2 linked regions of the Sus scrofa genome follow. The protein of the gene in region 2 purifies or fractionates together with the protein of the main gene of each other region. This does not show direct contact. Links are inferred from orthologs where the notes say so. Each region holds a gene or a part of one and is shown on either strand. Other genes may lie near its edges.

Region 1 (7,499 bases), on a different chromosome or scaffold from region 2:
AATAACTGACACAGGTTACACACAGTATGTTGATGAAGCTGCGATTTACAACCTCACATGTATTTTTTCATTTGTACTTATAAGAAAAAAAAAAAAAAACCTCTCCGAATTCCATCTCTTATTATAATAACTAACAGTTGAGTGTTACCGTGTATATTATATGCCAGGTACTGTCTAAGTGCTTGGCATAGGACGTTTAATTTTTGTCTGTACAATAGCCCTGTGAGGTCGACACTACTGTAACACACCCTCATTTTATAGAAGAGTAAATAACTCTTCAGTAAACCCTAAATAACCTGACCTTGGTCGTACAGTGGTGGAGCCCAGCTTCAAACGCGAGCATCCCGACGCCAGAGCCTGTGTGTGGGTTGATGTTCTTCCTGCCTGTGTGCCGGGGCCCAGGCACCCATCGTGCATCTTCCTCCAGGCTCTGGCTAAGGTGTGCTTCCCATACTTGTAGTCATGAAAGAGTATTTTTTTCCTTTTGCTTAACAGATGCTAAGTATTTCACTGTTGATAATAATCTTTCTAACCATGACTACCTAATAGGCCTTTGAACAGATTTAGCCTTGCTTACCGAACCTGTTGTCTTTTGCTGAACGTGTATTTGTATATAAAGTCTCATTTCCTTGGGGGCAGATTCCCAGAGGAGGGTGTTAACTCCTATCAGAAATACAGGAGTTTCCATATTGTTTGGTATGTCATGGGGCTCTATTCTAGTCTGGAGGATGAGGAAAGGCTCCCAGGATGACCCACAGATCCACGGCTTTGCTTCTGCATGGGGTTCCCCTGGAGGGCAGTGTGGAGCAGGGCTGATCCCAGGAGCAGTGGTTCAGGTGTAGAGGGTCAGCGGGGAGGCACTGGTATTGAGGGAAAGGGAGACAGAAGGGGGACGGGAGTGGTCCAGGACCAGCTAACGCATCCTAAAGCCAAACAGGGTGCACCAGGAACCCGTGCCAAGAGGGGACTGCAAGGGCCCAGAGGAGAGCAAAGCTCATCACGAAGCCGGCAACCAGGAGAGAAGTCCAGATCCTTTTGTCCACCTCTTGGTGTCTGAGTTGCCAAGGAAAACAGCATGGTCAGGCTCCAGTTGGAACAGCGTTTTCATCCACACGGAGAAGAGACACCAAGATCAGCCCCCGTGTGCACGGATCCCTTAATGGCTCGGGGGGGGCCCCCATCCCTTTCCTGCTGCCTAAGAGCACCCCTCTAGTGCCATAGCAGGACCCCTCCCCTTCTCTCACTGAGTCTGAAACACTGAATTGCAGGCGGGGGGCAGTTGCCCCAGAGTCACTGATGTCCATGCTTAAGCAGAAGAAAGAAGCACAGGTTGTGTGAAGCAGGGAAGGATTTTCTCACACAAGCCTGGCACAGGCTGTTTGGGCTCTTTTTGGGTAAGGAAGTGTTCCAGGCCCAAGGCTTATTCTTAGGTGGCGAAGCAAGACCTGAAAGACTGAGCTGGAGACTGCCTTTCTGACAGGGTCCACTACAGAGGATGTGCCCAGTCAGTCTTTGCTAGGACTTAAATCTGAGGACAGAGCATTCACAGCCCCTCTCGGTGGGTGTCACTCCGCCAGGGCCCTGAGTAGCATCCTGCTGCTGCTCTCAGGACAGATCTTAGATGCCACAGTTTCATACAGGGGTGTCAGGGAAGGAAACTGATGAGGGGGGTCTCTTGTTACTTCACAATTACCAGGTCATTTTTCAGTTTTCACTGTAATAAGCAAGTTTGTAAGGCATTTTTCATGCTCCTAAACTCCCAGTGTGAGGCATCAGGCAAAGGAAACCCAAATGTCTCAGACCCTCGAGACCAGTGACATTTGATTACGGTCTGTAGAAAGATTCCTCTGTTGTGTTTTCATCAAGTGGCCAAAAAGGGAAGAAGAGGGATTAGGTCATAAGTCCGTATTTCAGATTATTTTAGGTTAAAAAAAAAACTAGTTAAAAAGAAGTTACAAGTGAGTATACTGAAAACCACTGAATTGTACATTTTATTTATTTTTTAGGGCCGCACCTGTGGCACATGCGAGTTCCCAGGCTAGGGGTCCAGTAGGAGCTGTAACTCCCAGCCTACACCACAGCCACAGTACTGTGGGATCTGAGACCCATGTGTCACCTACACCACAGCTCACAGCAATCCCAGATCCTTCACCCGCTGGCCAGGAGAGGTCAGGGATCAAACCCGAGTCCTCATCCTCATGGATACCAGTTGGGTTAGTTACACCTGAGGCAGGAGAAGAACTCCCGAATTGTACATTTTAGAGGGTGAACCTTACGGCAAGTGATTTACATCGCAAGGAAAAAGGCAAAAAAAAAAAAAAAAAAAAAAAAAAGGAATGATAAGAGAATTAAGATACTAATACACATGTAAAAGAATACCTAGTTTGTAAAAAGAAAAAAGATATAAAAAAGTCTATCCACGTGTATCTCCGGCGTCTCTACCGTGCACTGTGCGCCTGCAGCCCTTTACAGAGCACCTTGAGCCTGACTTTCCCAAGTATTTCATCCGGACAGACAGATGGGCCAGTGTGCCCAGGATCTTGGCAACGAAATAGTGACAGAGCAGAGCTTACATTCGAACCTGCAGCTCCCTGACTTATAAGGGCCCGACCTGGATCACTAGGGTTCACTGCTCCCCAACTGCGAACAGAGTGGAGCGGTCCCCCAGAACCCCTTACCCCGCCCACCCCACAGCTCCTCTGCCCCTGCCTGCGCCATCCTCCTGCCCGCGCCATCTGTTCGCTCCATCGCCCAGAAGGAGCCCAGGGCAGTCAGGCCGTCAGCGAGGCTGCGACACCCCCAGCCCCAGACGCCGAAGACAGAGAACGTGCAGTGCACGCTCAGCGCCAGCCCGCCTGCCTCCCCGGCACAGGCAGGAAACGCGGCACCTGGGCACGACTCGAAAGGCCAGCGGAGCGGGGTCTGACAGCGCCCGGGGCTGCGGGGGCCTGCGGGGGCCTGCGGCCCCGCGCCCTCCCGGCTGCCGGCAGAGCTGCCGGCCATCGAAGCTTCCGGGGGCCTTCCGGGGCCGGACCGCGCCTGGGCCTGCGCGGCGGGGCCGGGCTGGGCGGGAGCTGCCCCCGCGGCTCCTGGCTCCGGGCCGGCCCGCGGAGCGGCGGCCGGGGCGGCGGGCAGGCAGCGCGCCGGGCAGCCCTGGGCCGGAGGCTATGGCGGCTGCGCTGGGGGTGCGCGGGGCGACGCGGGGCTGGTTCGCGGCGCTGCGGGGTCGACGCCAGAGCCTCGCAGCTATGGTGAGTGCGGAGAGCCCGCGGGGTCGCGGGAGGGCGAGGCGCCGCCGTGCCGGCCGAGGGGCGGAGGGACCCGAGCCGACCCCGAAGCGGGCCCGGCCTTCGGGCTCGGACTTTGGGGAGTCACATTCGGGTACCCGGCACGGTCGGAAGCGCTGGTCCGAGACATGGGTGGCCGCAGCATCTTAGTTTTCCTTTGGCTTAAAAATCCCGTCGTCGTCTACCAAATTGCCAACCGGAAAACAACCGAGGCCGACTTTCATTAGAAAAGAAAAAAGTAAACATGAAAAGCAGTTGCGAAAGTATTTCACCATTAGGGTTTCTTGATGAGACTCCAGTTGCCGTTCGGTCCTCTAGACTGTGCGCTCGGAGAGAGCGGGCGCCGTCTCGCTCTCGGCTCGCTCGCTGTAAACAGCGGGACTGAATGTGGAACGAATTCATTTCTCTTGGTGTTAATTTTTTTTAAAGGAATTACTATTGAATTACCTTTTTGGTGGCACATTGCCTCTTAATTCCTTTTCTGAGGGGCATCCTGTCAGTTTCCCTGCTTTGGAAATTAACAGATTGGGGGGTAAATTAACTGGAGGGAAAGTTTTAACTTGCAGCACCACCTAGTGGGAAAAAGTTGCGTGAAACTCACCTTTTCATTTTCTTTAATTGCTTGTGGGGGCCCATTTGGCAGTTTGAAATCCTTTAATAGAAGAAATTAAAAATAACTCGATGATGGGAAAGATGGGCACTCTGCTTCTTGGCCACTAAGGCGAGGACGCAGGTGGAGTGCTCACTGTCACCTAGGCGTGTCCCAAGGCATGCCTCTACCTAGGGTGCTTGGTGATCCAGTAAAACTGTGGGGTTTGGAGAGGAATGAATAAACGGACGGGATTGGAGTGGTTGCCACGTGCCGGGCTCTCTGTTGGGTGCCTTCACACTCAAGAGCTCTTTTAAGCCTTTCAGGAATTTTGGCAGGTGGCTGTGGTAATATCCCCACTGTAGAGCGCTGCTCATCAGAGAGGCGAAGTGATTTATTCAGCACCCACAGCTGGAAGTAACAAAGCTAGATTTCGAATCAAGATGACTCTCCAGGAGTTCCAGTTTGGCTCAAAGGAAACGAATCTGACTAGTATCCACGAGGAGGCAGGTGGGATCCCTCACCTCCTCAGTGGGTAAGGATCTGGCTTTGCTGTGAACTGTGGTGTAGGTCAAAGACGTGGCTCGGATCTGGCATTGCTGTGGCTGTGGTGTAGGCTGGCGGCTATAGCTCCCATTTGACCCCTAGCCTGGGAACCTCCATATGCCTTGGGTGCGGCCCTTAAAAAAAAAAAAAAAGAAAAGAAAAAGATTACTCTTCAGATCCTGTGCTTTCTCCATCCCTCCCAAAGGGGGAAAAAAAATTCAAGTCCACCGCAAAGGGTTCTACAGAGGGTATGTCCCCAAGAGAACCGTTTGTGTTACGTAGGTGACATGACTCCATTTCAGCCCCAGACCTGATCCCTGTGGCTGTGGTGAGCGCAGAGTGCATGTCACCGACCTCACTGGGCTGTGGGTGGTGGAGCGAGCAGAAAAAATCGGCTCAGGGTGGGCTCCGCAGACCCCAGGCGACTGCTGCGTTACCCACAGCATGGTTGAGAGTTTTCTTTTGCAGCTATTCAATAATAATTCCCTTTCTTTTCCAAAACGACTCTGCATTGACCTAAAATATTTAAATATTCAGTTACAATTTTAGATTATTTCCTAGAGGGGGTCTGCGTGTGAAAATTTTCAGAGCTATTGCTGTGAAACTAATGAATACTTTGGTTCTGAATAGTGTATTTTTTCCCTTTTTTTGGAGTTTCGTGGACGTTTAGTTGATTGGCAATGTTGGGATCATGCCTGGTGTACAGCGCAGTGATCCAGTCAGACCCACACTCGAGTCCATTCTCTCTCAGATTCTTTCCCCACGTCGATGATCGCAAACTATTGCGTAGAGGTCCCTGTGCTGAACAGCAGGTCCCTGTGAGTCCGTCATCCCATATACCTCAGTGTACATGGGCCAGTCCCAAACCCCCATCTGTCCCTCCCCTGCCCCACCTGCCCCCTTTGATAATCATACGTTTTTCGAAGTCTGTGAGTCTGTTTCTGTTCTGCAAATAAGTTCATTTATATACATTTTTTAGATGCCATATGTCAGTGACATATCATGTTTTCCTTTCACTGTAGCTGCACTTCATATGCTAATCTCTAGGTCCAGTCATGTTGATGCAGATGGTGTTATTTCATTCTTTTTTACGTGCGTAATATTTAAGTGTTTTAAAATTTTTTTCTTATTTTTTCCCTTTATTTATTTATTGGTTTGGTTTGGTTTGGTTTGGTCATGCCTGCGACATGCAGAAGTTCCCCAGGCCAGGGATCCAAACCACGCCACATCAGTGACCATGCCGAATCCTTAAGCACTAGGCCCATAGGGAACTCCTTTAAATGGTTTTTGATAACAAGGCTTTAAACATTTTTATTTAATTAAGACATATTTTCATTTTCTGTTTGGTTAGTTATAGGGAAGGATAGCTGACCTAGCGAGGAAGAAACTGGAAAGCTGGGTCATTCGTGTCCTTTTTTTCCTCTTAAAGAATAAGTTGTCTTAGAGTGAGTTGACTTACTTCGCCTTCTTAATTCCATTGATGTCAGTGGTGAAGGCTTTTAGGATTTCTGAAGTGGGGATGAGTTGCAGTTTCATAGTGGAGGATCCAGTCCCTGGTTGCCCTTTTTTTTTCTTTTTCTCTTTTCTTTTTAGGGCTACACCCGCCGCATGTGGAAGTTCCCGGGCTAGGGGTCGAATCGGAGCTACAGCTGCCAGTCTGCACCACCGCCACAGCAACGCTGGATCCGAGCCACGTCTGCAACCTACATCACAGCTCACGGCAGGGCCAGGTCCCCGACCCACTGAACGAGGCCAGGGATTGAACCCGCATCCTCAAGGATGCCAGTCAGGTTCATTTCCACTTCGCCACAGTGGGAACTCCCCGGTTGCCCTTTGCTAAGGAGTCCTCACATTAGTTCAGTCTCTCTGGATGCCAGTCCTGCCCTTATCTGAGCCTGTAGTAGCCCTGCAAATAGGTAGGGCAGGAATTACTGGTTGGTACTTGTGCCAGAATAAGAACATGGCTCTTCTGGCTTCTCCTAGAGTGTCCCTTTCTTCTGTCTGACATGCTCTTCAGAGTTCTTTCAGTTAAAAAACAAATAGCATAGGGGTTCCCGTCGTGGCGCAGTGGTTAACGAATCCGACTAGGAACCATGAAGTTTTGGGTTCAATCCCTGGCCTTGCTCAGTGGGTTAACGATCCGGCATTGCCATCAGCTGTGGTATAGGTCGCTGACGCGGCTTGGATCCCGAGTTGCTGTGGCTCTGGCATAGGCCGGTGGCTACAGCTCCGATTCGACCCCTAGCCTGGGAACCTCCATGTGCCTCGGGAAGTGGCCCTAGAAAAGGCAAAAAGACAAAAAAAAAAAAAAAAAAAAAAAAAGCAAATAGCATAGGAAGTCTGGGCCCGTTAACCAAGTAACTCCAGGTTTGGGAATGTCATTGCCAGGGTGAGTAGGAGCAGGGTGGACAGTTGTGCACAAGTGCTTTGGACCGGGCGGTGCTCTGGCCAGACTCTGGAGAGTGTTCGTTTTGCTGTGTTTCTGAGAAAACTCATTCCACTAAGGCAGGGGCTTTTTACCTGTAGTCCAGAGGCTCTGTGGATGCCCAGAAGTTATTATACAAAATCGCCTGTGAGTGTGCATTTGCTTTTTCCTCTTTGGGGATTGGGCTTCCTTTGCACTGACAGTAGATGGTGAACCCAGAGAGCTGGGTGAGGAAGGACTGAGAGCTAGGAAGTGGGAATATCCAAAGAGCGATAGACCAGGAGTTTACAGCCTTGAGTTCGAATCCTGGTTCTACCCTGGGACGTGCAGGGTGTCCTTGGGTGGATGTCTTTGTCTCCGTTTCCCAAGTCCTGGAATGCTGGCCACGGGTGATGGTCTTTGGTACGACGGCCAAATGGTCAATGTCAGCTGTATCTGTAATAAACCAGAGAAGCTGACCTGTGAAGTCTGAGGCATTTGTAAGGTGCGGTGAGCCCGTGTACCACGGAGACAGCTTATTTTGTCCAGAGTGAGCCTCGTTTTTGTCTCTTTTTTTTGAGAACAAAGAAACCAAAGATGGGTAGAAATTGTTGCCCTTAAGACTTTTTTTTTTTTTTACATCTCTATGTAAAGAGCAGTTAAGTTTATTTGA
Region 2 (6,325 bases):
AGGCCCTTGCCTGAGGCGGCCTCATCTCTGCCCCTTAGCAGGAGCCCCTCAGCACCGCACACCACAGCCTCACCCACAGGAGTCTCTGACCCCTGCCCAACTCCTGAGGCACTCTGGAAGCTTCCTTAGGCAGGAGACTCAGCTGCTGACTTCCAGAAGCCCCTGAGGGCTTGCCAACCTGATTTGGCAGCTGGCATCCCCTCAAGTGTCCCTGTCCTGTCGCGCCAGCAGATAGCAAGCATGCCTCTCATCCTCTGAAGCATCACTTTGTGGCTAGACAGCAGCAGTTCCCTCTGGACCAGGAACAAAGGAGGGCAGAGGCAGGGCAGCCTTGGTGCCTGGGGGTAGGGGGGCCCTGGCGATGCTGACCCCAACTCTTTGGGTTGCAGGCTTCCGCCTTTTCTTCACCTCCATCCCTGGAGCCTCTGAGAAGGAAGCTGCTCCCCAACCCCGCCGGAAACGGTTGCCTTCCAGCTCCAGGTGAGATGGCGCCCTCTCCTCAAGCTCCCTCTTTTTGGGGCCTTCTCTCTTGGCCAGTCGCCTCCCTGTATCCCCCCCATAAACAGACCAGCTCCAGTCAGGTCTGGGCCCAGAAGGAGCCCTGTCAAGTAGCTGGAGAAATAGAGGGAGGGCGAAGGGCGCGGATTTCCATCGGGAGTTGGCTTTGGATGTTTACTGCTTGTGAGCACCATCTTGTGCCAGACGTCTCACTCCTGGGACATCCCTGTGAGGCCTGGGCTCTGGTAAAACCCCCACTGCATAGATGAAGATGCGTAGGGTCAGAGAAGTGAAGTCACATAATGAGGTCACACAGCTGGCACTGGAGCCAGGTCTGCCTCACTGCCAAGCCTGCGCTCTCTAACTGCCACCCTCTATCTCTGGCTGCTTTCGGACTGAGGCACTGAGAGGCAGCTCTGGGGCCCTGTGGTGACTGTCCTCCCCTTGCAGCAGCGAGGATGGTGACGAGGAGTTGCAGCGGTGCCGGGAGGCGGCTGTGTCAGCCTCCGACATCCTCCAGGAGTCCGCCATCCACGGCCCTGTCAGCGTGGAGGAGAAGGCAAAGAAGAAGAAAAGGAAGTTGAAAAAGAAAGCCAAGAAGGAGGCCAGTGCCAGTGTGGCTGCTGCTGCCACAGTCACCACCACAGGCAAGGCCGCAGTTGGGAAGCAGAGCAAGGAGTCCGCTGAGCTCAATGGAGCCCAGGTACCACTTGGGACCAAAAAGAAGAAAAGGAAGAAAAAGGCAAAGAGGGCCGGCGAGGCTGCCCCATCCCCGCCAGCAAAGAGTGCAGCAGCCACGCCTGTACACCGAGTCCTGCCTGTGGGCACGGGGCCCAACTAGCGGCGCCCCCTGGGGACAAGTCTTTCCCAAGCCCCACCTCCCTTTCCAAGTGCAAGAACTCAACTCTGTCCATGATGGGCTTGCCCAAGGGTCGGGGCCGAGAAGAGGTTGTAAGGTGAGAAACATGAGCAAGGCCTGCCCTTCTCTGCTCCCACTGGGTACCAGAGTGTTCTGTGGCCTCAGGAAGAAGGAGGAGGACCCCAGTTTTTCAAGGCTGATGGCCAGGTGGCAGAGCTTCCACCTCCTCAGCCTGTTGTGGGAGACAATCTGAAGAAAACGAGGGAGGGGGTCCCCGAAGTGCCAAGGCCCAGGAGGAGTTTGGTGCTTCTCCCTCCAGTCACCCAGTCTTGAGAAAGGAGAGATTCCCTCCTCCCCCACCCCCCAGTTTTCCAGAATTTTCTTCCTCCACATTTGTGAATACACCATGTACAGTTGTGTCTCTGAGCCAACCAGAGTATCAAAAATAAATTGTCGAGGGACCCAAAACATAACAGAGTGATTTGGGTGCTGCCCTCCATCAGTGCTGAATCTTGATGAGTCATTTGAAGTAAGCACCACCCAGGCAGGGTTGTCCTGCCTACACCCCAAGTAGGGTTCCTGCAACAGCTTCAAGACTTTCAGGATGTGCCACGGCACCCAGGGATCAGGATTCATCTACAGGGGTGTTCTGCAAGAAGTACTGGAAGTTCAAGATGAAGCTAAGATTCTGGCTTCCTTGCCTGGCCTCAGAGATTCAGCAGAGCAAGGAAAACAGGTGGGGGATGTGTATGTGTGTCTGTGTGTGTGCACGCACATGCGCACGTGCCAGCCCCACCCCTCCTTGGTCCCCAGGCCCAACCCCAGCTGGGTGATGTGTGGACAAGCAAGAAGTTTCCAACCTGTTCCTCACTTGCTTTATTAAAAGTTAAATAAATGTGCAGGCTTGCCTTTAGCTGGCTGCAAGCTGCAGGGGCGCTAGTCTTCCCCAGCCCCCTCCTCAAGGTGGAGGAGGTCCATGAGGGCCCTGTGATCTGCAGCAGCCCTGGGGAAGGGTCAAGTGAGCCCTGGATCGACATGGCTGCCTTGTCCCTCAGGGCCTCAGGCAGGTCTTCAGTGGGCTGTGAACCATCTGGGCCTCTCCCCCTCCCCTCACCAGCCAGGCCCCAAGCTTCCAGATGGCAGCCTCTCCACCAGCCTCACCTCTCTTCTCCCCTCTGGGCTCAGCTTTGCCAGCTGCTTTGGCCTTACTGCCTTCTGAGCTCAGCATCTTCTCCCCCAAACCAGGAAAGGGCCTGCTGCCCCACGACTCAACCTGGCACCAAGTGCAGAATCACGAGCCTCCCACAGGAGCAAGGACAACGTCTAGCCCTCAGGGGAGCTTTCCAGTAGAGGCAAGATGCCAGGCTGGCATCAGGAAGTTTGCTCAGGACACGGGAAGCTGGAGAGGCCTGCCCGCCCCAGGCCCTGGTGCAGAGTAGTCACCCAGGCAATGCTGATCTGAATGGGGGGACAGGTAGGTTGAAATGCACGTGCAGGTTAATAACAGGAAGGGGGGCTGGGTGGAGTGGCCCAGTCAGGGCATAGGTGACAGAATGGGGCCATGTTGATCTGTGGCCTCTCTCCTAGGCACACAGGCCTGTATCCTGAGAAGTAGGGTGCCAGTGCTCTCCACAGGCCCAGGCTGGGGGTCCCCAAGTCCACAGGCTGCCCCTTTCTCTTCCAAGTGACAACGTTTACCCTCAGCATCAGGGACAGTCCCTCCAGAGTCCTGCCAGGAGCAGGCTCTGCTTCCCAGCTCTCCATAATCCCCTCTTGGACACTGAAGCAGCCCTCTTCGGGTTGGGGCACCTCAGAAACCCTCCCTTTCTGAAGCCAACAACCGGGTAGGGACTGAGGCACAGTTTTCCCGGGAAGAGCAGCAGCCCAGAGGCAGTGAAAGTTTGTAGCCTCAGATGTTCTCGTCGTCACTCCTCAAAAAGGCTGTGTAGGCTTCAGGGCCCAGCCCCTTGGAAGCAGTTGCCATGGTTACTGGGAGGATGAGGCCATCTGCGTGGAGATGAAGGTCTCGATGACACTGTGGTTGGATGGCAGCAGGTGGCTGTGACCGTTGGTGGAGTCGGAGCTCTGGTACAGCACCAGGCTGCTGGAGGACACTGCAGGGACAGTGAAGCTGCCGGCTGCCCGCCTTGACCATTATGTCCCCTCCCCACTCACCATCCCTGAGGGGACCTGGGATGGGAAAGTGGGGACTGACTACCTCCTGAATCTTAGCAGGTAACCGGAACCCTAAAATCAAACCCCTACCCCTGGGTCTTGTCAACCTCTGGCCAGGCTCCAGGGCGCCCCAGGGAGTGGCCTCAGCACATTTTAGTGGGAACTTCTGTGTGTCAGTTTGGCTTCCTTTTAGTACCCAGTTCTTGAGCCCAACACCAATCCAAGTGTTGCTGTGAGGGCATTTCATAGGTGTGGTTAACACCCAAATCCGTTGCCGTTAAGTAAAGAAGATTTCCCTCAATAATGTGGGTGGGCCTCATCTGGTCAGTTGAAGGCCTTAGGAACAATAGCTGAGGTTTCCCAGAGAAGGGATCCTGCCTCAAGACCACAGCATTGCCTCCTGCTCTGTGGCTTTCACACTTGCCAGCTGCCCCCCGGTCCTGTGAGCCAATTCCTTAAACATATGTATATGTTTGTGTGTGTGTGTATGTGTGTATGTTCCTGTTGGTTCTGCATCTTAGGAGAACCGGGATTAATTCAGATGGTTAAGAGAATAAATGGGCTTTGAGTTTGGACCTGGGTTCAGGTCCTGGCCCCACCACCTAGTAGCTGTCAGAAGCAAGGCCAAGCCCCTCCTTGAGTGCTTTGTCATCTGTAAAACGGAGGCAATGACACCTGACAGGTAAAGCATGGAGCCCTTGGTGACTGTCCCTGCTGCCATCAGGGCTGGATGGAGGACCCTGAGGCTCACACTTAGCAAGTGGCTGCCCCAGGCCCCAAAGTGCCTGCTCTTCACTGTGACATCGTGGGCTGCAGACTCGGGTTGGGCTGGAGAGCCCACACCCTGTGGTTGCCACAGGGGAACAGGAGTCCTTCTCAATTTGCAAGAGAAGCCAGAAATCTGTGACAGCTCTTGTTTTTTAAATGTTCGCAATGAATTTAAAAAATGCTAAACCCTAAACCATTTGTGTCACTTCTGGCCCCCAGCAAGCCCGTTCTGGCCTCATGATTACCCGCTATTACCTCTTCTGGTTATCTTTTTCATCAGCTGAGCCTAATAGAAGTTACTGTGAGACCCATTTCCTGTGGTTTCACACCCCACTTGGCTCACTTTGGGGGAGCACAGGTGCCCCTTCTCATTTACCCCCCTCTGCTGGGCATACCTTGCTCCCCAGCTTTGGGGACATCAGGGAAGGGGGCCAAGGAAAGGTTGCTCACCAGTGGGGCTGGCACTGAGCCTATGGGCGGGCTGCAGGTGCTGGATGCCAGCAGGGTCCTGGCTGGGGATGTGGATGGTGGTGGCCTGAGATGCCGGCGTGTGAAGCCCAGACTCGCTGGAGGCCTCAGTATCCGAGGTGAAGACCTGGTGGAAAGGCAGCCTCCTGAGCCCTCCTGGTTGTGCCCTGGGGCAGGGCCCGGGGAGGGGCTGGGGCAAGCCTGGGCCTTACCTGCTTGGTGGGCGTGAGGCTGGCCAGGGCGCTCAGGTTGGTGGTGTCGGTGATGAGCATGGTCTGCGGAAGCAGGCCCGTGTGGGTGTACTGGGCCACCTCGGGCTTGTGGCTGTAGAGGGCTGGCCGGGAGGGGGAGGGGAGGGTATATACATGGCACCTGGGCACCCCTCCCAGGAGGGCCTCAAAGTGGGGGCTCAGGGAAAGTAGGGTGTGGGCCTGGTGAGCAGCCCTGTGGGACAGTAGTTGGGGACTCAGGGTTCATTTCCAGGTCTGGGAGCTCCAGATAGAAGAGTTGGATGCGCTCCCCAACTACAGGGGCCTGCTTTGCCTAGTCTGGTGGAGAGGAGTCTGGGGGAGTCCAGGAACCCAAACCCAGCTCCTTCACGTGGAATTACCAGGTGTGAAAGGGAACAAGAGGCACAGGTGCTGTTGTCCTAAGCACCGACCTTGGAGGGAAAGGCTGGCGCCCCCTGTTGGGGGGTGGGGGGGACAGCATATCTCTACTCCAGGACCCTCTCCACAGTGTAACCCAACCTTTCACCTGTAGTCAGTCCCCAGCCCCACAAAAACACAGATGCCAGCAGAAAAATAACACAAATCGCATGGATAAAAATCTACCCACCCAGGAGTTCTCTTTTGGCTTAGCAGGTTAATGATCCCGTGTTGTCACTGCTCTGGCTCTGGTTCCCACAGTGGCGCAGGTTTGATCCCTGGCCCAGGAACTTCTGCATCCCATCGGCTTAGCCCCCCCCCCAAAAAAAAACCTCAATGGTTTCCAAATGAGACAGCTTGAGGGGGATGGGGGAGGAGGCACTGAGGGTTTGGGAAGGAAATGCTATAAAATTTGGTTGTGATGATCGTTGTACAACTATAAATGTAATAAAATTCACTGAGTAATTTTTTTAAAAAGGATGTAATGTAAACCTATATACAGTTAAGGTTAATTGCAAATAGAGATTCACAGATCAGTGGTGGTAAAAGAGGTGCTTCCTTTGTGTTGTCTGGTTTTTTGTGCTATAGCATGTCTTTATTTTTTTTTTCTATCATAAATTCCTTGTCTAAATTTCCACTCTTTAGCCCAAGTTTGGTCTCTAGTAGAGCAAATGTACTTCCCGCTGGAGTGAAACCAAGCATGCATGAGGCTTCTAGTTTAAACCACTTTCCTAAGTTATCCTAGGGCCCCACCTAGCTCTGACCTTGGTTTTTTTATTTTTTTTATTTTTATTTTTATTTTTTTTTGTCTTTTGTTGTTGTTGTTGCTATTTCTTGGGCCGCTCCCACGGCATATGGAGGTTCCCAGGCGAGGGGTCGAATCGGAGCTGTAGCCACCGGCCTACGCCAG

Evidence for each region. The genes of interacting proteins can lie anywhere in the genome.
Region 1: the proteins of HNF1A (region 2) and PCBD2 purify together in Homo sapiens (affinity purification with mass spectrometry; 4 studies listed by BioGRID and IntAct, with this or other methods). This does not show direct contact. The link is inferred for Sus scrofa from reciprocal best matches to the Homo sapiens genes HNF1A and PCBD2.

Annotation. Positions count from the first base shown.
Region 1 is NC_010444.4:137,079,809-137,087,307, forward strand, and holds the start of PCBD2 (pterin-4-alpha-carbinolamine dehydratase 2), read left to right. Parts: upstream 1-3,111; 5' UTR 3,112-3,167; coding exon 3,168-3,251; intron 3,252-7,499.
Region 2 is NC_010456.5:40,884,217-40,890,541, reverse strand, and holds the end of HNF1A (hepatocyte nuclear factor 1-alpha), read right to left. Parts: intron 5,103-6,325; coding exon 4,981-5,102; intron 4,896-4,980; coding exon 4,751-4,895; intron 3,472-4,750; coding exon 3,344-3,471; 3' UTR 2,220-3,343; downstream 1-2,219. Other genes in the region: C14H12orf43 (uncharacterized protein C12orf43 homolog), read left to right, coding at 390-480, 949-1,339. UniProt on the Homo sapiens protein: Transcriptional activator that regulates the tissue specific expression of multiple genes, especially in pancreatic islet cells and in liver. Binds to the inverted palindrome 5'-GTTAATNATTAAC-3'.